3 linked regions of the Lonchura striata genome follow. The main gene of each other region encodes a partner of the protein of the gene in region 3 in a complex. Links are inferred from orthologs where the notes say so. Each region holds a gene or a part of one and is shown on either strand. Other genes may lie near its edges.

The links. The genes of interacting proteins can lie anywhere in the genome.
Region 1: the proteins of EIF2B2 (region 3) and EIF2S1 are in contact, whole or in part, in a cryo-EM structure (PDB 6K71), measured with the Homo sapiens proteins. The link is inferred for Lonchura striata from reciprocal best matches to the Homo sapiens genes EIF2B2 and EIF2S1. Residues at the interface, in NP_055054.1 of Homo sapiens: Glu92, Arg95, Gln128, Ser131, Asn132, Glu135, Ala136, Glu139, Val142, Glu143, Glu145, Glu149, Asn150; in NP_004085.1 of Homo sapiens: Leu51, Ser52, Arg53, Arg54, Ile56, Asn60, Lys61, Leu62, Arg64, Arg67, Lys87, Ser91.
Region 2: the proteins of EIF2B2 (region 3) and EIF2B5 are in contact, whole or in part, in a cryo-EM structure (PDB 6O81), measured with the Homo sapiens proteins. The link is inferred for Lonchura striata from reciprocal best matches to the Homo sapiens genes EIF2B2 and EIF2B5. Residues at the interface, in NP_055054.1 of Homo sapiens: Ser12, Glu13, Glu16, Glu20, Lys23, Arg24, Asp283, Lys287, Phe288, Val289, Ala290, Pro291, Glu292, Glu293, Leu295, Pro296, Phe297, Thr298, Gly300, Asp301, Leu303, Glu304, Val306, Ser307, His309; in NP_003898.2 of Homo sapiens: Glu81, Thr84, Ala85, Thr115, Leu117, Lys186, Glu187, Ser188, Ser189, Ser191, His192, Pro193, Thr194, Leu245, Lys294, Glu295, Tyr296, Asp312, Arg315, Arg316, Trp317, Tyr319, Pro320, Ala325, Asn326, Asp329, Thr336, His337, His340, Asn341.

Annotation. Positions count from the first base shown.
Region 1 is NC_134608.1:32,778,503-32,785,506, reverse strand, and holds the start of EIF2S1 (eukaryotic translation initiation factor 2 subunit 1), read right to left. Parts: upstream 3,050-7,004; 5' UTR 2,944-3,049; intron 1,158-2,943; 5' UTR 1,157-1,157; coding exon 916-1,156; intron 1-915. Other genes in the region: ATP6V1D (V-type proton ATPase subunit D), read left to right, coding at 3,316-3,356, 5,748-5,865, 6,936-7,004. UniProt on the Homo sapiens protein: Member of the eIF2 complex that functions in the early steps of protein synthesis by forming a ternary complex with GTP and initiator tRNA. This complex binds to a 40S ribosomal subunit, followed by mRNA binding to form a 43S pre-initiation complex (43S PIC).
Region 2 is NC_134612.1:18,704,414-18,711,394, reverse strand, and holds the start of EIF2B5 (translation initiation factor eIF2B subunit epsilon), read right to left. Parts: upstream 3,050-6,981; coding exon 2,897-3,049; intron 1,834-2,896; coding exon 1,709-1,833; intron 1,342-1,708; coding exon 1,156-1,341; intron 1,060-1,155; coding exon 882-1,059; intron 1-881. UniProt on the Homo sapiens protein: Acts as a component of the translation initiation factor 2B (eIF2B) complex, which catalyzes the exchange of GDP for GTP on eukaryotic initiation factor 2 (eIF2) gamma subunit.
Region 3 is NC_134608.1:23,212,716-23,219,911, reverse strand, and holds the start of EIF2B2 (translation initiation factor eIF2B subunit beta), read left to right. Parts: upstream 1-4,097; 5' UTR 4,098-4,117; coding exon 4,118-4,277; intron 4,278-4,876; coding exon 4,877-4,997; intron 4,998-5,544; coding exon 5,545-5,693; intron 5,694-6,382; coding exon 6,383-6,546; intron 6,547-6,832; coding exon 6,833-6,928; intron 6,929-7,196. UniProt on the Homo sapiens protein: Acts as a component of the translation initiation factor 2B (eIF2B) complex, which catalyzes the exchange of GDP for GTP on eukaryotic initiation factor 2 (eIF2) gamma subunit.

The sequences.
Region 1 (7,004 bases), about 9.6 Mb from region 3:
CTATTTCTCACAAACTATACATTCTCCAATAAGTTCAATAAAAGACCACTAGATGAATTCCAGATGTGTTTCTCTGTTAATATGAAAACAAGATTAATTAGTAAAAGTATAATTTCATTAGAGATGTTGGGAAACTTATTTCACTTCAGATTTATCTGCAATAAGTTTATTCTTGCCCTTCTTTTGTCTCTGCTTTTCCTTATCCTGTCATTCATTATTTATTCTCAGAGTTAACTGCAGTCTCAGAAGTATTCTAAAAGAGCATTTAACTTGAGAAACATCATACCAACAGTTAATATTTCTAGGAGACATGCTCAGTGTTTATTATTTCTGTACATCTGGACAGAGATTTTAGAGATTGCGTGGAATAATATTATCAAAATCTGAAATTTTCTCAATAGAAATTACATTTAAAAAACCTTCAAAGATTCAAATGTTCAAAAGACAGGAAAACTAAAACTACCTGTACAATTCTAACTTTTCCCTACAGAATTCACAATGATTACATACTTGTCATCACCTTTATCAATAAGGTTTGAGACTTGTTAACAAACAGGATGGATTGTCAGCACTAAATGCTTAGCATCTAGGAATCTACAGCAAATGATGCTTCTCTTCAGCTGACTTAGAAAATCTACACAGATACCAAAAGAAAATTTCACTTCACTATAGTCCAGTGACTGATCTGGTGAGGACCCACTTAAATTTTTACTGATGTTTATTTGCTTTCATTAACCCAATTCCCAAAGAACAAAGAGGAATAGAAGAACAATCATAGGTATGGTCAGTGATGGTCTATTTTATTTCAATGCTCAAAAAAAGTAGTCCTAGCAAAACCCACAAACACCTGCTTAGTTCATCTGCATTTCTGTCTACAAATTCAATCTTGACAGAGCCCACCACAGGCCCAGATACCTTTCTCTTTGTCAACTCTTATGACCACGACGCACTCGTTCCTGCCGATGCGGATGAGTTTGTTTATGGACCGGATGCGTCTCCTGGACAGCTCGCTGAGGAGGATCATGCCTTCGATGTTGTTGTACTCCAGCAGGCTGACATAGGCTCCCATTTCAGCAATGGACCGAACGTTGACCATCACTACATCTTCCACCTCGGGGAATTTATGTTGGTAGAATCTACAGCTTAGTCCCGGCATTCTGGAATTCAAGCAGAAAAATCAAAGGTTTTATTTCACAGTACATCACTGCCTCCTCCTACAAACACGGCAATAGACCAGCAAAGACTGGGGACAATAGAGAAGAACAGTGGCAGAAAAAGTAGCAATTAGGATAAGGTTGTACTTAGGGTTTAGTACAAATTAAGTAATAAATTATCTTGTATTTCAAATACTATTACCACAACCATTTCCTAAGATGCTATTTTTTTGCCTTAATGGAGAAAAAGCTTTGCTACCCAGACTTCATTACACACTTCACCTGTCATACTGCCTATACACAGAACACTGGAAAGGCTTCTTCGAGTGGTGGAAAGGTGGGACTGCACACCTCACGTGCATGTAAAGTCATCAGAGTGTAACATTTTCACAGAGTTCTGAGTTGGGACTCTCAAGGATCATCAACTGGACTGTAAGAGCAAGAGGACATAAGAGAGAAGCATGCAGTGCTCATGAAGCATTTTGTATGCACATAAGACAGCATGTGAGGCTAACAAAATAAGAGGCAAGATGGAAGTTTCTGTAGTACTGAGGAGAAGCAGACTCTAGATGACTTTTAAACTCAGCACAAGATGTTCAGAGTAATCCTGCAAGACCTGTTCCAAAGGCCAATTGTCAGCAAAGAAAGCAAAGGCATTATTTAGAACAGAACTAGCCTGGCCTGAAGTACTGAAAAGGGAAAAAAGTGCCCCCCAACAGTCAGGAGGGGAAAAAACCCAACAAAGTCACATGAAAAAAACCAGAATTCCTTCATTATACATTAAAAAAAAAAAAAGGCAAAAGCAATATTTCATAATCAAGCAGTGATAAGAAGGAATACTTAAACTGCTTTATTTTTTTGATAATGAATCCATATGCTCTTAAAAGTCTAAGTTTTGTCTAAGTTAGTTCAGTTGTCTATGCCTTGAAGTTTCACACAGAAATTTTTCTACAGGAAATTTTTCCAGCAGCAGCCCAAGATGCCAAGTCAAATGCTTCACTCCTTCAGAAGATTTTAGTCACCAGTTTTAAGTCATGATCTTTACAGCCTTGCTCATGCTTCCTAGCTATAAGAAAATTTAAAATCAGAGTAGACAGATAATGACAAATGCTATGTACACATGTCCACACAATTAAGAAGACCATTTCCACCCTTATTTTAATTCTTAACTTGTAGAAAGGGGAAATACAGACTAGTAAAACATTATAAAAACACTCTGAATGTTTTGTATAACTTATGTAAGCTGAAGCTGAACAAAGAACTCCAAGGTTAAAAAGGAAAACTTTACGGTCTGGCTTTCTAGTCTACTGAATGCAGCTCTGCTCAATCCTGCCGGTACTTCTGGGGTACACAAGCAAGCCGCACTGCAAAGCGACAAACCCGAGCCACAGCGAGCAAGAGCGGACAAACACCACTCCGCTCCTCTCCCCAGCCACAAGGTTTTTATTTTGGCCTTCTGTTCCCCAGGAGCAGCACTAGGCCCACCGCGCCGAAGCTGGCGTTCAGAGGCTTTTCCCGCGGCTGGACACGCCTCAGCCGAGGCCCTCTCGGCCGCACGGCGTCCGCAGAAACGGAGCCGGTCCCGAGCGGCGCCGCCGGCACGGCCGCTGCCCGCGGGCGCCGCGGCACCGGGCGCGGCCCCGCGGCACCGGGCGCGGCCCCGCGCGCGGCCCCGAGCGGCGCGGCCCCGAGCGGCGCGGCCCCGCGGGCTGCCGGGCGCGGCCCCGAGCGGCGCGGCCCCCCCGGCCGCGGGCCCCGCGCGAGGGCCGGGCCGCGCGCGCGGCGGTACCTGGCTGCGGCCCGGGCGGTCTCGCGCTGCGCTCGCGCACCCCAGTCCCGCGCTGGCTCCGCTCGTGCCGCCGCGTGCGCCCCGCCGCCGCCGCCCCACTGCGCAGCTGCCGCGACGCCGAGGAGGAGAGAGGGGTCGCGATCCCCTCGAGCGCCCCCTGGCGGCGGGAGGCCGGAGCCTCGGGCTCAGCCAATCGCGTCTCCTCCTGCCGGCCCCGGCAGACACGTGACGCGAGCGGCGCGCCCGGCGCCGCGCGGGCCCCGCCTCGCGCGGGGGCGGGGCCGAGTCACGTGAGGGCGGCGGCGACGGCCGGTCCCGGCCCCGGCCCCGGCGGTGACAGCGGAGACAGCCCGAGCCGGCCCCGCCGCAGCCATGTCGGCCAAGGACCGCATCGAGATCTTCCCCTCGCGGATGTGAGTGTCCGCCGGGACGGGTCGGGACAGCGCCCGGGGGGAGCGCGGGGGTCCGTGCCGTTGCCGAGGCGGCGGGAGCGGCGGCTCTCGGGGCGCTCGGGGCTCCTCACCGGGGCTCGGCGCTCGCAGTCGTTCCGCCGGTTGCCCCGCGCCGCCGAGCGGGGCTCCCCCGGTTCTGTGACGGGCCGCCGAGGGCCCCTGATCCCAACCTTCAGCTTCTGCTTCCCGGCTCCGCGTCAGCTCTGTCTGGCCTTAGAGGGACGTGGCAGGGCCCGGCACCGAGATGCCGGTGTGATATTTAAAATAATGTGATTACGCAAGCCTTACCTAAAAAAGAACAATTTGTGGAATGTATGTGTAGGAAAAATGGACAAACGGAACGACAGCTTCCCATAACTTTGCAACAGAGGATACTGCTTCACGAGAGCTTGGCCATAGCGCGTTAAAAGAAGGAAGTAAAGTGCTCCCAGTGTAGTGGACAGTCAGGTAATTTTCCAGATCCAGACAGCAAACTGTTTGTCATGAAATCAGATGTCTCCTGAGAAAGCTTAGAAAGCTGCCAACAACACTGGAACTAAAGCAAACAATTGAATAAAATTGCTGGTTTAATAACACTGTTTAGTTTCTCTTGAGAACCCTCCAGGACAGACAGACTTTGCTTTAAGGTGAAAGGCTATTTTAAATCTTCTTGCATAAAAATGGGTTGCCTGCACATAATCTTTATAATAAAAAGGATGCCTTGAAGGACAAAAACCCTCAAACATAAAACAATAATTATTCACTCTGTAGGAGCTCAGGACATAAAAAGTAACAGTTTATATGGAAAGATTAATACATTACATGGCAAAGGTTTTGTTTTGAAATTTAGTTTAGAAATAAACTATTGCATACACGGGAATGAATTATTGCATACATTAAGTCATCTGGCCTCACTCCTGCTCTTTGGTAGTGCATTTTTCCATTCAGTTTAGGTGTGCAAGGAGGGGGCACTTCAATCACTTTTGAAAGGTACTTGGTTTTGTGAGGTGATGTGTCACTGTGGCATGAGGGTGGTCATATACAAAGACCTAATATTTACAAGCCCGTTTTTAAACGAGGTGATAGGCAATAATGTGGGTGCTGTTCCCAAAGAAATATAAGTTAGAATGGCAAAAGAAAGATGACCTGTGTCTGCAACAAATAATTTTGTTACCTGACAGAAGAGAATTTCACAAGGTTTACCTTTTATGTTGGTTTGGGGTTTTTTTTGTTGTTGTTATAAAGTAGCTTGCTGGTATGAGCTTCTTCTTCTGTGCTGGATGTCTTCAATTCCAGAAGTTGCTCAGTTTCCTTGAGAGTAAACAAAACTTTGTTTATTGCACTCTCAGAGCAAGTGAGGTCTTGCTTGAACTAGAAGACGAGCCAGTCTCTGGCAGGTGGTGAACAGAGCAAACAAGTTAGTTCAAGGTGATGACAGCCACCTGCTTGTTGGGAAAGTTCCCTTTTTACTCTCTGATTTTTTTTTAAATCATAAACATTCATAAAGTATTAATGGTTTTCAGTTAGACGTATTTGGTAGATGTTAATGGAGCTACTCTCATCATATACTAGTAGATGTGGTCAGTAATGGATTCCACTGTGTAGAAAGAATCTTAATTATACTTATTTTTTCCAAGGTCAGAGAGGAAGTGTGTAAGAACTTGACTTAAGCGGTGTCCTTTGTGCACAGTGGTTGCATGTAGAAAGCAGTGCAGTTTCTAATTTCACACAAGAAACCTGTAAGTGTGCTACTGGATGTAAAGGTGAAAGCTACAGCTAACTCACTAATATCCCTTTAAATTGTCGCTGCTTTTGATTGTCTTTGATAGCTTGTAAATCTCCTATGCAGCATATAAGCATAAGGAAAATCAGAATGTACAACTGCTGCATCTTCTTGCTCTGTAAAATCAAAACATGGCATCAACTGTTATGACCACATGAAGAATTTGCTTTGTCTGATTTTGAGAAGGTGGCATGGCAGTAAAAGAACTTAAAAGCAATACCCATGTCACAGCGACACTGGGTATTTGGAGTAGTTTGATTTCTGGTACTTCCAAGTCATGAAGAAAAATGAAAACTCTTATTTCCTATTATAGAAGCACTGAAAGATGTCTTGTCAATTTTCCATGAGTTTTGACTTCACAGATAATAACCTTGTAGTTCTCATTGATGATGGAGATAAATATAAATTCCCTTGATTTTAAATGGGAATCTAAAATTCTGTCCTGAAGTGGCCATCCTGTTTTACTGCAATGGTGTTTCATGGTTACTTCATAATTTCAGTCATATACATGTCAGAAAACTTCACCTAAGTTTTTTCCTAATCTCTTCAGATGATGCAGGATGCTTTTTCTTTATTCCTCTGCTTACCAGGGCTCAGACCATCATGAAGGCTCGTTTGAAAGGAGCCCAAACAGGTCGTAACCTCTTGAAGAAAAAATCTGATGCTTTGACACTTCGATTCAGACAGATCCTTAAGAAAATTATTGAGGTAGGTAAATTAGAATTTTCCTTTGTTTGGCTCACTTTAATGTTCTGTCTGTTGTGCATTCCTATTCTCCTAACTTCATTAGATAGGCTGGAATATAGGATGACTTTCTGGCTAACCTGTTTTTTGTAAGTGAGACTACTGAGAACACATGAGCAGCATTATGTTTCTGTGGCTGCAATGATACAGAAACTTGGAAGAGTTAATATTCTTCCCCTCTTTCCAGACAGTCTTAGCCTCTGCTCTCTTTTGTTTTACAAGTTCCCGATCATCTCTTCTATGTTACAGGGAATTTGCTCTGATACTGCCAAATACTTTGGGTATTAAAATGTTCTGTAGCCCCATTTTTATTGCTTTTTCTGGCTTGAGGGAATACTGCATATCTATAAAGTTTCTTCTTTGTAACATCTTGCATCTTTCTTTGTAACATGGATGACAAATCTGAGATAGTCAGTGGAGCCTACTCTGTGTTGTTCTGTTCTGCCCTATCAGATGGGTTTAGTTGTACTGTTTTTGCTGCAGCTGCTGCAGAGTCCGTGGTTAGCTGTGGTCCTTTGTTGCCACACTGTAGACAAGATCTCATCATGTCATGGCTTCCTATACATTGTCTAAAACACAAAGGCTGGTGTTTCTCAATAGTTTTTAGCTACAAGGGCTAAAAATCTGTAAAAATTGGGAAAAAACAGAGTGGGAGGAGAGTGCAGCTTCACAAAGCTGTATACATTTGTATGCTGAAAACAACCTTCAGCTGTCTCATAGTATTTCATACAATGTGAAACAAGAATATTTTCCTGCTGAGCCACTTTATTGTTCTTATTTAACCCCCATGTAATAGAATTTAATGAGTAAGGCAAATATTTTGCTTTTTCTATGAATTCTACAATGTGAAACAGCTGAAATATTTCTCTATTTTTGCCAGTCACCTGAGAATTACAATTACCAGTTTGAGAGTAAGCTATGCATATAGGACTTTCTCACTCTCTTCAATTTCTTCTCTTTAAGCTGCTAGGTTTTTATCCTGGAAAAGTAGTAACAATGTGCCTTGTATTTGTTGCCTTTTCTTTTTTAAACAGACTAAGATGCTGATGGGTGAGGTGATGAGAGAAGCTGCCTTTTCACTTGCTGAGGCGAAGTTCACAGCA
Region 2 (6,981 bases), on a different chromosome or scaffold from region 3:
CAAAAACGGATAAATCTAAATACAATTTTTTACAGCTGGGAGTCAGTTTTGTATTGTTGGGTTTTAGTTGTTTTTGGCTTTTCCTTTTCTGTTTACTACAGTGGTTTGTACTTCCATTTGAAGACATGAAATAATCTCCTGATTACTGATTTGAGGATGAAAATATTATACAATCACAGCCTTAGTCCTGAGTTGAAGAAAGAAACTGGCCCATCTATCTCATGGAGAAAGAGGCTCCACAGACATTTACAGAGCATTTACTATATTACTAGGTGAACAAACAGGTAAAAGGAGGTACCACTCCTTGCACCTCTGTAATTCCACCCATGTCAGGCTCAACAACAAACAACACTTCAAAAAGGAAAGGGTTGTTAAACACTGGAATGGACTTCCCAGAGAGGTGCTGGTGTCCCACCCCTAGAGGTGTTCAAGAAATGACTGGACGTGCCATGGTCTAGTTGACAAGGTGCTGATCAAAGGTTGGACTCTCTGATGTCAGAGCTCTTTTCCAACCTAACTGATTTGGTAAAAATGGTCTGTGTATGGTAGTGGTATATGCACCCCAATTTGGGAGCCCCTGTGATATCACAAAATCTCTCCCTTGTTTTACATCATGGAAAGGAAATAAAGGGCAAAACCTGAACTCTGAGAAATCATCTGCCTCATGCCCAAACTGGAATGAGTCACAAACATGTGTGTCCCAGCACAATTTCACCACACCTCAAATAAAGATTAAAGGGGGAAAAAAGCCAGTTTACCCCAAGTTACTTCCTATCATTTGCTCCTCCAAGAGGAGCAGCTGGGACAGCTCCCCAGCCCTCATTCAAGGAGGATCTCCTCAGGTGGGCTGCACTTTTCCACCTGCCAGGCTCCAGACGCACCATAGGAAAGCGGAATCGTTTCAGCCCCTGCGTCCTCTGGTAGTGAAGGACACGGTGTGTGGCACTGTCCATGGCAATAACAATGTCATCCTCCTTGCACCTGGCATGGTGGCCAGGCGAGGACTCCTTGAATATCATGGTCATCACTGACACATTCTTTTCCATCTTACGACGCAACCTGAGAAAGGAGGGCAGAACTATGAGAACACTCCTCAGAGAACTACAGACTGCAGTCTCAGCACACCAGGCAAGCATCCACTCTCCCAGCACCTACTTGTGCTCTTCCAGGGCTTTGGATATGTTGAAGTTGGACACCACGTCGCCGGTGACCAGGATGAAGTCGGAACGAACGAGGGACTTGGCATCCACGTCCCGCAGCACGTCACCAAGGGAGCGGTACAGGTCCGAGGTGACAAAGCGCACTGTGTTGGGAGACGTGTGCCGGCACCACTTGGATTTTCTGCAAGAAGGAAAAGATCCATCAGGAAGCCATAAAGAGGCTGTTCCCACAGACACACAGTGTCCCAGTGTGTGCCACACCTACAAGGGGTTACAAAGAGCAGCATCCTGTGACAGTGAGCCTGCTATTGCCGAGCTCAGGTACATTCAGAAGGGAAACTGAGGAGCTGTCCCACAACACTCAATCCTTTTAACACACTGCACAACCACCCTCCTACACAGCAGGGACAGTCTCTTCTGAGATATGCTGGGAGACCACTGCTGAAAGCGTGTCTCTTGCATAAGAATCAGTGAGGTCTTTTGAGGCTTGTTGGAGGGCAGATGAATACTTTCCATGATAAAACTAAAAAGAAGAAGAGAATTCTTACTGCAAATGCTCTTTTATTTCAGCTGACTTCCAACAGCAGAAAACAAAGGTTTCTTCCACTCCAGTTGCTGTAAGGAACTCCAAGGTATAATCAATTATGGCCACATTTGCCATAGGTAAAAGAGCCTGAAAAAAAAAAACAATACCAAAAAATCCATACAGATAGCTGAACAGCCAACATCAGCAACAGTCCCTTCCAACTTGGGGATTTAATGTCATCAATAGTACCAGAAACATAACACAAGTAACTGCTTCACCAGGTTTTATAAAAATCTTTTTGAGATGAACTAAACAGTAAGAACTAACTTGCAATTTTCTAGAGGTAGATCCTCAGTTCACAAAGGAAGGCATAAAAAAGTGAAGTTATCACTGAAAACTGTTCAAGAAGACTCAGATAAATGACAGACACTGGAAAAAAAAAAGTGCTGATTCCCTGACTTAGGCTTTGACTGCTTCAAGAAAAACCTGTCAGACATGAATGATGAAGCCAGAGGAATATGAGTGTCCAGAATTAAACAAGGGGAAAAAACCCTCAACCTAAAGTGAAGTAAGTACTCTCTTGACTTGAGATTCAACTCACACTTTTAAACTGAGTTACTGAGTCACACCTGAGTGATGGCATACCATTCCTTAATTCATTTTTGGTGCTGTTTCATTTCAGGCCGGAGCTCGCGTGTATAATTACAAGCACCACCAACACTTAATCAGCAAAGGAGGTGAGATAATTATTCAGACCTAAAGTCTCCAGAAACCTTTTATGTTCCTTTAACACAATCTTTGAGCTGGATAATTAAAGTACATCCCCATCCATTTTTCTGGCCATATCCTTTCACGCATTACAGCCGCAAAGAGCCAAGATTACGTTTTATTCCTTTATCAGAAACAAACCTATCCAAACCCGCTGCCAGCCGTGCACCAGCCACAGGCGAGGAGCCGACAGCGCAGCTCGCCACGCCATATGGAAAAGCGGTCAGCACCGACACAGCGACCGATGCTCGGACAGAAACTCCCACGGGCGAGAACCGCCGGAGCGCAGGAGGGCGGGAGAAGCCTCGCCCCCTCCCGGCCCAGCCCGGCCTCTCGCCGGATCCCTGCCCACCCCGGCCTCCCGGGGACAGTGCACACCGGACAGGCGGCCCCGGAGGCACCGGCGCGGCGCAGGCAGCAGCACCCAGAGGGGATTTCTCACCCGCGGCCGGTCCTTGGAGATGGGGAAAAAGCGGCGGTTGAAGCTGTCGGCGACCAGCACGGCCTGGAGCGGCGGCGGCGGCTCCTCCTGCGGGTCGGGGCCGCGGGCGGAGCCCCCGCCCGCCCCGCGCCGCGCGGTACCGCGGGCCGCCATCGCCGCACGCGGCCGCCGCCGCTTCCGCTTCCGCTCGCGACGGGAGCGGCAACGGGCGCCCGGCGGGGACACAACAGCGCGGGGCGGCGCGTCCCGGCGGGAGCGGGGCGGGAGCTGCGCCTTGCCGCTCCATCCTCTCCTTCCTCCTGGCGTCACCCCCAGGTGGCCCCGGGGTGTGTGACCCTGGTGGTGTCTGCTTTTGGGAGCAGAGATGTTTTCTGATACACTTCCTAGCAGCGATGTCTTTGTGCTGCGTTTCCAAATGTCCAGAGGCTCCTTCTGCAAAGGACAGCCGGGATGCGAAGCAGCCCGTCAGTGCACAGCTCGCACCTGCCATCAAAAAGCTGTCCCAAAACCCGCAGCCCCTGAGGGACCCCTCGGAGCCCGCTCAGAGACCCTTCCAGAGCGGATGGGAGGAAAGAAGACGTGGTTTCCGAGGACTGGGGTGGCATTTTTGTTCCCCTCAGCTTGGTGAGGCAGCTGTGGTGCTGCAGTGCTGGTGTCTGCCTGTCCCCCTGCTCGGACACTGCCGCTTCCATGGATCTCGCTTCCCTCGGCATTCCTGCCCCAGCCCAGGCTCCGTCCTCGCACGGCTCTGATGGTGCTTCCACACTGTCCTGGTCCTCAGAAGGGAATGGGCCATGTCCAGCCCTCAGCACAGAAAACCTGCTCTCAGCTGGGTCCTCGGAAGGGAATGGGCCATGTCCAGCCCTCAGCACAGAAAACCTGCCCTCAGCTGGGTCCTCGGAAGGGAATGGGCCATGTCCAGCCCTCAGCACAGAAAACCTGCCCTCAGCTGGGTCCTCGGAAGGGAATGGGCCATGTCCAGCCCTCAGCACAGAAAACCTGCCCTCAGCTGGGTCCTCGGAAGGGAATGGGCCATGTCCAGCCCTCAGCACAGAAACCTGCCCTCAGCTGAGTCCTTCTGCCTCTCCCTGCCGCCGGTCCCACGGCTGCAGGATTTACCTGGCACAGTTCTCACAGCACCGCCACCTGCTCTTTGTCACCGAGGAAATCACTGTGTGATCACCCTGCATTCAAAACCAGGAAAACAGGCTGAAAGATCTCCCTAGGGAGCTCCTAACTGGATGGCAGCAGAAGGGCTATGGAGAGTCCTGAGCCTGGCAGCAGGACAGCCCATTCCAGTGCTGGCTGCTGCAGGACCTGCTGCTCGCTGCCTTGCCCCGTTGTCTGCCCCTCTCCACATGGGACAGGCATTCACAGCCCCTGCTCTGTCACCTCACCAGTCTCTCTTGCTGCCCCTCAGTCCCCACAAATTGACCCAAATTGACCCCTGCTCTGGTCCTCGCTGCTGTTATCTGCTACTGAGTGAGAAGCCAAAAACTTAAAGAGTCTCAAATTCAACTGTGGTCTGAGAGAAGCACAGGGCATTTGCACCCCCACCTCTGTGGCAGGGCCTCTCCCAAGGGCGGAAGGTGGTACATATTTATCAGCCCAACGCACACAGTATGGCAGAGGGAGGGAAATTAAGGGAGGCACCACTTAACCACAGACCTACAGCACTGCTCCAATGTTGTGGGCAGTGCTGTACACCCCTCGTGGCATTGGCATTGCAGAGAGGTCTTTAGTAAAGGGAAGAAAGCTGTAACAGGCAACATGCCTAATTCCTCCCCTCTGATTGGACTGCAGGTCCAGGACTGATGTAGAAAACAAAGTCTCTGTCTCCTGAAGGACTCTGCAGCATTGGGCATTCCCTGAAATTTCCCTGAGCAGTTAAAATGTTCAGGCATCACTTACGTAGTGCCATCTGTGCCCAGTGATTTGTGACCGAGCCCTTGCTGTGCCACAGCTTGCAGTTGAGTTGCTTGACCTTAGCTACTGGTCTGGAAAAAAGCAGCAAGGATGGACACAGCAAGAAAGTAGAAAGGAGCTGCCCGTGGGAAGTAAATCATCCTCATCCTTTTCAAAAATAGGTATCTGCATACCCTTGGGAATTCTGTTGCCCTGGCAGAAGAACTAACTCCAGAACAAAAGCTCCCAGATGGTTTCAGTCCAGGGGTTGCAGCTTGAGGAGTGATCCAAGAGGTGGATTTGTCATTGCCTGAGGGCAGGACGAAATCTTAGTTCCTGTCTGTGTGGAACTAAGTGCATAAACAGCACCAGAAATCAGGTCTGATCCAGCCTGCACAGCCACTGCGTGTGTTTGGACCGGGCAGAGAGGTTGACAGGGGAATCAGCAGATTATCTGGCTAATTACATCCTGTTCTCTCCAAATGAGGTGAGTTTCCAAGACGTTGCCCTGGTAAATTGGCAAGAACAGGGGAAGACAAATCAAGGTAATTGCTAATGAACTAAACTCCAAATCAGCTTGATAAATATTCCTCAGGCTTTGCAGACATGTTTTCCTTTGGTCTCACCAGGAACTTGCAGTCCAGCAACATCAAGGCCAAATATTTTCTGAAAGCAATGTAATTCCAGGGGAGCTTTTAAAACTGAAATTACCTAATGAAAATTGAGATGAGATGGAACTGGGTTTGACTGGAGGTCTATCAATCCCAGTATCCCACAGTGCCTGGGCAGGGTGGTGGGAAGACATAGAGACTGTGGGACTTTTCCTTGCTGCCTCATCCTTGGATATCCCAGGACAGAGCACACACCCTGGACAGGGCAGCATACACTGACTCTGGGAATGATGAGCCTGGTGGGGATACTCTGCTTTCTGAGACATCTTTCTGGTCCCTGTTCCTGCATTTTAAACCCTTTTCTCTTTTCATTTATTTTCTCTGAGCATTTGGTTATTTCCTGACTGTTCCCTCTGCAGACACAATGCCCCATGAGGCATCTCCAATGGTAGCTTCTGGTTTAGTCCTATCTTAGACAGCTTTGGGGCCCCACAGGGGCTGAGTGGAATCAGGGGCTCCCCAGAGTGGTGAGACTTGCAAAGAGGAGGGTCACAGGAACTCTGCATGGAAGAACCATGTACCTAACACAAGGCTTATTTCCCCTCACATGTCCTGCCTGGTGGCCAGCAGCTCTGATGCCCTTAGAGCATCCTTCTGTGCCTTCAGTAGAGCTATGAGACTTCTGTCATCACAGCTCCAGATCAGGGATGCAATTAGTGCCTAAACTCAGCTCTTCTTGGCCCACTGCATGTTGGCAAGGAGCCTGGTTTTCCTTGGGCTATTCCCACACAGTGGCAGAGGTGACAGGGGCAGGCCATGAACCCTGGCACATGGAACCCTGGGCACTCAGGGCAGTGTCCTGGACTTACCTAGGACAGCTGACACTCACTTGGCAGGTCTAAAGAGGGGTCTGCCTGCCCCAAGCACCTGTGGAGGAGCTCCTGCCCTTCAGAGAGGAGGTAGGCAATGGCCAGGACATGCACATTGTCCAGTCCTCTTATACATCTGAATGACTCTGTGCCTGACACAACATTTACCTGAGCACTGAACTAAATTCTGCAGGGAAAAATAAAACTGTAGACCACAAGTAAGTCAGTAATCATGAAAGCCAGACATATTCTACACCCCAACCCTTCTGCCTCCCTCCTTCCCATGCCCTGGGCTCTGGCCAAGCAGGGACAGCAGGGATACTGACTCACAGGATATTCATCTACTCTTTGCTCATTTGGGCTTCTCCTGTTCTCCTCAGCAGAGAGTTTCTGCCAGATTAACTGCTGGGCCTCGTCCGCTCCTGGATCCTGGGTTGACAGACTTGAGAAGGTGAACCAGACATGAGGCCACCCTGTCTGCATCCCCCTGTGTTTCCAGTTCCTCTGGGGTAGTGCTTGCAGAACTCCTTGGTATTCCTTTCCACCACATGTGCCCAGCATCCCCCACCTGCTAACAGGAAGAATGCATTACTGCTGCCTGAGCTCTGGGCTACCACAACTCCCTGTACTCAGCTGCTGCTCTACCAGCTGGGACATGCAAGGAGACAGGAGCTGCTCTCAGCACTTCCCCAGCTGCCAG
Region 3 (7,196 bases):
TGCCACTGAGCTTTCTGAGCACTTGTGCCTTTGGTGGCAGCAAAAAAAGCCAATGCCTTCTCAGGGTTTGAAGGTCCAGGACACTAATAGCAATGCAGAGGACAATCGCTCCCACCCAGCTCTGCAGCATGCTCCCTCATCCCTTGCTAGAACTTGTTTTCCTACATGACATGCAGTGACTTCCCACACTTCCCTCACCTCTTCCTGACCAGCCTGGCCTTTGAACCAGCTGCCTCCAGCTGCCTGTATCACGAGGGAGACCTGGGCTACTGCCATAGATGAATGAGCCGACGAGTGAGGCTCCACATCCAGGGCAGGCATTTAGACGCCAGCTTCCCATGCCTCTCCCAGGGGCTGGGAAGAGCAAGAGGCAGCCCAGCCCAGGCTGATTCCACAACAAGCCCTAGAAAAACCTTCATGCTTCCCAGCCTTGGTCTCTATTTTTAAGGCACCTAAAAGGAGGGGGGCACAAATTACAAACTTGCTGGCAGGAGAGACGGTCCCTGGGCCTGATTCAGAACCGCCTACTCATTTTCCATAGGGATTGTGGACTCCATTGGTACCGCAAGGGTCTGGCTATGGGCTTGGCCTGCCTGTGTGTGCTGTGCTGACGTGAGGATGAGACAGCAGCCATTTTCCAGGCAGAGACAAGCGCACGTACACACAGGAGGCCAAGCCAGGAGCTGCACCAAATGCTTTGCTAACCTGAGGTACTGAATCCATCCTGTTATTCCCCTTAGCAATGCCTGCCTGTTTCCCCTTGGCCACCCAGGCAGTTATGGCAGCCAGGCTTTCCTGAGGATGACCGGTTTAGGAGACAGCTGTTACCAGAGTCATCAGCGAAGATGAGCAGAACACATGCCCTGGTACCTGCAGCGTCAGACGTGAATTTCAAGCATGCCAAAACTGCCGATGACTCAGGCAATGTGTTCGTGTGCCTGAAAAGCCACAGAGCTCAGCTGTCCAGCTATTCATGTACCTGCATTTGATCAGCAGCTGTTTGTTTGGGCTTTTTGTCTTCTTTCCCTGGAAGCTTGAGTTTTAAACATGCATTCCACACTCAATTCAGCTCATCATTTCCATCCTCTTCGCTTACTAAATGACCTACTTTCTCCCCCGTAGCACACAGAAAGCGCTGGTTTGGGCTCCCTTCAGCAGATTCATTCCTGCCTCTACATCTGTGACTGCAAAAGCTTTGTTCTTGATTGTTTTGTCTCAGGCCTTTGAGCACAGGTTTTCTAAAGAGCAACCTGTCACACCAATGATACCTTAGTCCATCCTTCCCCTTAGACTGTGCTCAGTTCTCCCCACACCCATGCACTGTGACCTCCTTAATTCAGTCACTTGTGCTCAGCAAGTGGTTTAGGCACCCAGCAGTAATGCTGCTTCTGCCATGTCACCCACCCAGGCTTCACAGCCCACACCGAGCTGACAGCCTGCTCTGCTGCTCCTGCTGGGCCCTGGCTCATCTGTCTCTCCTCTGCTGGCTCCTTTCTTTGCCTGTGCTGAGCCTGAGCAGCTCGCTTTGCTTACCCAACTCTTGCAGATGAGTCCAATTACTAGAGTTCAGCAAACTGATTCCCCTCCCTGGCATTTTATCCAGCCCACTTATCCACTGAGAGTTTCTAATCCAAACAGCCCTCCCAGCACACGATGTTCCAGTGCTCCCAGGCTCTACCCAGCCTCTGTCCTGCCTTGTCCTCCCTCACATGAGCACTTGGGGGATGACATTCAGCCCCCAGGGATGCAGAATTCCCTGGGCAGAGGGAAGCAGCGTCTCCAGCAGTCAGCCCTGATGGTACAGAGCAGGATGCCATCCTGGCTAGGCTGGCAGCTCTCCAAGGAGGTGAGACAGTTTCAGCCCCTCTGCAGGTCCATAAAACGTGCTGCCATGCTCGGCTGGCCAGCTCATTCCCTGCTCAGCTCTTCTGTGCACATAACCAGCACTGTGTGCAGCTGTGTCAACCTCCTTGCTTGCTTGTGCACCAGCTGGGAAGCTGCAGCCACCACCTCTGCCCAGGGTACAGGGGGAAAGAAGGAGGGTGGGCTGTGCAGGAGGCAGTTCCTTGTGGCTGTGGGGTGCTGATCCATAACACCCAGCAGCTGTGGACCAGCAGCTGAGACTCCTTCCAGCTGCACAGGGCTGCACCTCACCACCCCCCATCGCTTCTGCCACAGTGCCACAGCCTGCAAGGCAGTGGGAATTTAGAAGAGTGCACCAGGGCACCAACATGCATCTTCCCTTCCCCACTTGCCCTACACTCCCTGTGCTGTTTTTGCTGCCTGTCCTCGCTGCCCATCCTCCTCCTCAATGCCTTCTTTTCAGTCCTGCTGGGCAGTTCCTGTCTAACTCATTGGGTCCTGACAGCAGCAGCTGGCTACTGACGTTGGCTGTCTCGTAGGCATGGTCCCTCTGAGCAGCCTGGGGTTTGCCTCGCAGCTCTCCAGAGAGCCCCAGGTTTTGGCTCAGCTCAGCTCTGCAGAGCTAACGGCTCCCGAAATCCCCATTCAGAAGCTTTCATTCATGAAACACAGGGCACCAGACCAAGTGCAGGACTCTGTCCCTCAAGGGACACCAGACTGCCAGCTGCCTGAACTAGCTGTGGCAGCAGTGCCCGGCAGAAAGTGCTGCAGGGAAAAGAACAGAAACAGCACAAACGGGAAAAGCTCTGCTGGCTGGCCAAGCGCTGGGAAAAACCGGCCCTGCAATAGTTACTGGGACCAAAGCAGGGAATGTAAACAGCCAAGCATCCACAAGGAGGTCATAACCTCAGAGCCTGGTTTCCCTTCCTCTTCTCCATCCTGTCTAATCTCCAAGAGCTGCTCTGTTTACTAGCAAGATAAGTAAACAAACAAAGGAAAGCTACAATGCAGTGATTTTTATTTTTCTGGCCAATCCACAGGTCCCAGTTCCTGGGTGCACATATGGGAGCTGTTTCTGCACACCAAGGCAGCTGGCACATGGCACTGCAGGACCAGCAGCAGGCAGCTGATGGGCACAGGCAGCCTCCCCAGCCCTGCCTGTAAGTTTGCAGAGGGGCAAAGGGGGAATGGGGTTTCCATGCACAAATGCAGAGCTGTGCAGAACTTGCCCCACGGAGCCTCTGATTTACACACTCTGGAAGAAAACATACACCTAAATCTGGGGAGAAGGAGGAGACAAGGCAGCAGGGAACCAGGACATGCCCAGTTGGCACAGTGGGGACCAACACAATGGGGCCAATAGCTGGGCAAACCCTGTCACCTTCTACAGATTTTCTCCAGGGGCAAAGGAGGGGATAAACTCATCATGGAATGAAACTCTGACTTTTGTCCAGGGCTGCAACACCCCCCGAGCACATCCAGCCAAACTCAGATGTGTGACCTTTTGCCAGGCGTTGGAGGGATAGGGCAAGCTTCCTTCCCAGGCTGCTGGGCTCTCCGGCTTCCAGGCACACAGGGGCACTTGAGGAAGCAGGAGGAGAAGAGGCATGGAAGGACTCTCAGTCCCCTGCACGCTTTGGGTGACAAATCACCTGCATTAATCACCCCATCAGAGCCAGCACAGCAGCTGTTGGTATTTTGCTGGCGACCCAGCAGTCCCGGGACAGAGAGCTCGCTGTAGGGCGAGTCCTAAGCTAACCAGACGAACGCAAAGATGTCATGAACATCCAAGGCTCTACAGGCCTCGGCATGAAGCAATCACTGAAAGCTTCCAGCATACGCCTGTTTGCTTTTATTTCCTGATCTCAAACAACAGGACACAGACCAGAGCGATAGAGTAGCACGGCAATGAGAATTATTCCATGGCTCCTGCCTGTTCCCTGGACACACTGCTCCAGGAACTAGACACAAAGGAGCTACATTCCTGCCTTATCCAGGGCCGGCTCTGGCTCTGCCAGCAAGAACAATGGGACTGCCAGGAACTGCGCCTTTCCCAGCCCGTTTGATTTGGCTCCTCGCAGGCGGCCACGGCCGCTCCAAAGCAAACGCGGCCATGGCGCCCGGCCCCGCCCGGCCGAGGCTCCGCCCACCACCGGGCGCGCCCCCATTGGCTGAGCGCCGCCGAGGGGCGGGCGCAGCTCGGCAGGCTCCGCCAATGGGACGGCGGGGGGGCGGAAGCGGAAGCGCGGCCGCCATGCCGGGCGCGGAGCGCGGCTCGGAGCTCTCGGAGCAGATCGAGGCCTTCGCGGCGCGGCTGCGGCGCGGCGGGGAGCGGCCGCGCTCCGAGGACACGGCGCGGCAGACGCTGTCGCTGCTGCGGAAGATCGTCGGGCACGGGCGATGGAGCCGGGCCGGTGAGAGCCGGGCGGCGGCGGGCGGACGCAGCGCTTTCCCCGGGCGGGCGCAGCTCCCCCAGCGCCGGGAGCGAGGCGGCGGCGGGGCCGCGGGAGGGCAGTTCCCCCCGGTGGCGGCTGTCGGGTGCAGAGGGATCCGGCGCAGGCCCCAGGCGGGGCTGGCGGGAGCTGGGGCCTCGCTGGCAGCGACCGGCGGATTCGCAGTGCCTGTCCTGCCGCGGCGGGGCCCTTCCCTGCCTGCTGTGCTCCTCACCTGAGGAGCTCCCCTGCTCCAGCCTTCCTCTCCCCTGAGCGGCGTCAGTCCGAGCACTGACCTCTCCAGCAGCACGTGGTTTCCTCTTTCAAAGGAAAGTCCAGATGCGCTGCTGATGGGCTTCCCTTGGGTCTGTGTTGTGTCCAAGCGTTTCCGACTGCAAAACCCACCAGTGGAACCGGCTGCTTTGTGAGAGGCTCTCTGCTCGCCCCTTCCTGGTGTTTCTTGGTGCTGTGGTCCTTGTGCTGGAGCAGCTGCTGGCCCTGGGATATTGAGAGGGGTGCTGGTTTGATGCTCACGTGGACTTGCTCTGGGCAGTGGTAACCAAGGCCCTCCCCTCTTCTAGGGGAGCTCATGGATCTGATCCGGACAGAGGGCCAGAGGATGACAGCAGCCCAGCCATCAGAGACAACAGTGGGCAACATGGTGCGACGGGTGCTGAAGGTCATTCGTGAGGAATATGGCCGGTAAGGTGCCCCTCTTTTTCCCTGTATCTCTCTGAAAACCCAGAACTGCCCTTTTAAGTTGCTTCTGTAATACTCCTTTAGTTTCCTTCACCTCCTTTCCCCACCTCTTCCAGAGAGGTATTCAGGGAGTTTAACACCAAAGGAAGCCCCGTTGATTCCACTGTGGGTGATGACATTTCCTCTTTAGAAACCACTTGGTGTATGTGCTGTGAGTGCATGAGAACAGTCTGTGCCCTGGCCTTGGGTTGTTCTCTCTGTCTGTGCTTAGGGGCGTGCATCCCACTGGAGCAGTAGCCTCGAGCCTGCTCCTTGTCTATGGACAGCAGTATTTGCACGTGTCTTAAGAAGGCATTTTCTGGTAGAGATTTGGGTGTTTTTCTGCCAAGACACCTATGGAAACTTTTTGGTGTGGCATGGTGTGCCTCCTGTGGGTGGCTTTCCTTCCTGTCTCTTCACATCCAGGTGTGCCACACTGTGGGGACAGTGCTCAGCCTGGCTGCAGCCCTGTGCTCCTTCCTGAGGCTGAAGTGGCCACTTCTCTCCACAGGCTTCACGGGCGCAGTGAGGAAAGTGACCAGCAAGAATCCCTGCACAAGCTCCTGACTTCTGGAGGACTGAGTGAAGATTTCAGAACCCCTTACCCCTCCCTCAGAGCTAATGTTATTGAAGCTATTAATGAAATGCTAATTGAGCTAGGTACGGATGGGTCTGAATTGCTCCTGAGTGATGATTCTTATGGAATGGGACTGATGCTTCCCTGTTCTCTAGGTGAAATAATAAGGATCTGGGAGGCTTAATCTGAAGGAACTAAGGGACCAAAGCCCTGCTGCTCCCAGGACTTAGTTTTAAGTCTCTCTGGCTTATGGGGAGAGGGGTAGATTGTGGAAGGAGCAATATGTAGGCCTGCACTCTTGGTCTTCTGGGAAGTCTTGAGTCCTGTGAAGAAGAGTGTAAAATCCCTGTGCACATATAACCTAACTCTTGTCACAAAGATACAATTTTCTTTCTCTGCAATTCTTGTGACAAATCAGGCATCTTTCTGAGGCCAAATTTGCCCCGCTATTGAACTACAAAACTGTTGAAGTTTTGTGGGTCTTGTGATTATCTGGAGTAGTGCTGACACAATCCACTCCCCTCACAATGGAGTTTTCAGTACAGCTATTTTTATATATAGTGAGAGTATAGCTAGGGAGCATGGAGCATTCAAGGGCAAGCTTCTTGGTTCCACTCCAGTGGCAAAAAGAATGGGGAGAAAAGCTGCGCCTGCTCTTCCAGTGCTAATAACTTTGTCTTAGTGAAAAATGATCTTGTTGGAGGACAGTCCTAGCAGCACAAGTGTTGCTGTTGCTGGCTGCTTTTACACCCACATCTTCCTTCTGTTACAGAGGGCACCACTGATAACATTGCTATGCAGGCACTGGAGCACATCCACTCCAATGAGGTGATCATGACCATTGGCTACTCACGCACTGTTGAAGCCTTCCTGAAGGAAGCAGCTCGCAAGCGGAAGTTCCAGGTCATCGTGGCAGAGTGTGCACCATTCTGCCAGGTAAGGCCTAGGCTGGCTGCAGCATATTGTTCTACGCATTCTTACTGAAATCTTGTGTCTGGAATCAAGATGAACATTATGGAAATTCCTCTGCAGTTGAGAAATTGGAGATTCAAGTGCCTCACTCAATATTATCCTACCCCAGCATCCTTGAGTTGAAGGGCTGTGTTCAGGTGTCATTATTTGGTATTTTTGCAGTTCAGACAAGAATTGAGTGCTGATACCTTTACAATTACACTGCAGGAGCTATGTTACAGGGAACCAATTGGATTCTCCCTCTTTTTAGGGTCATGAAATGGCTGTCCGACTGTCTAAAGAGAATATTGAAACTACTGTCATGAGTGATGCAGCTATTTTTGCTGTCATGTCTCGAGTCAATAAGGTAAGGAGGGCTCCACTGGAGGAGGGATTTCATAGCAGACGGAGTGCTTAGGCCTCTCAAATCAGCTGCAAGTCCCAGCAGTGATGGATGTGTCTCTTCACTGAAGACTCAAAATTGTAATAGTCCCTGTTCACTTCTAGGGTGGAGATTCAGTGTGAGCTCCAAGTCAGGATGATGACTGACTGAGTGGTAACAGGTTTTTCTGGCTTTGTGGCTACAGTTACATGAGAGCCTCAAAGGATTAACCTCCATTTTCAAAGGAGATGGA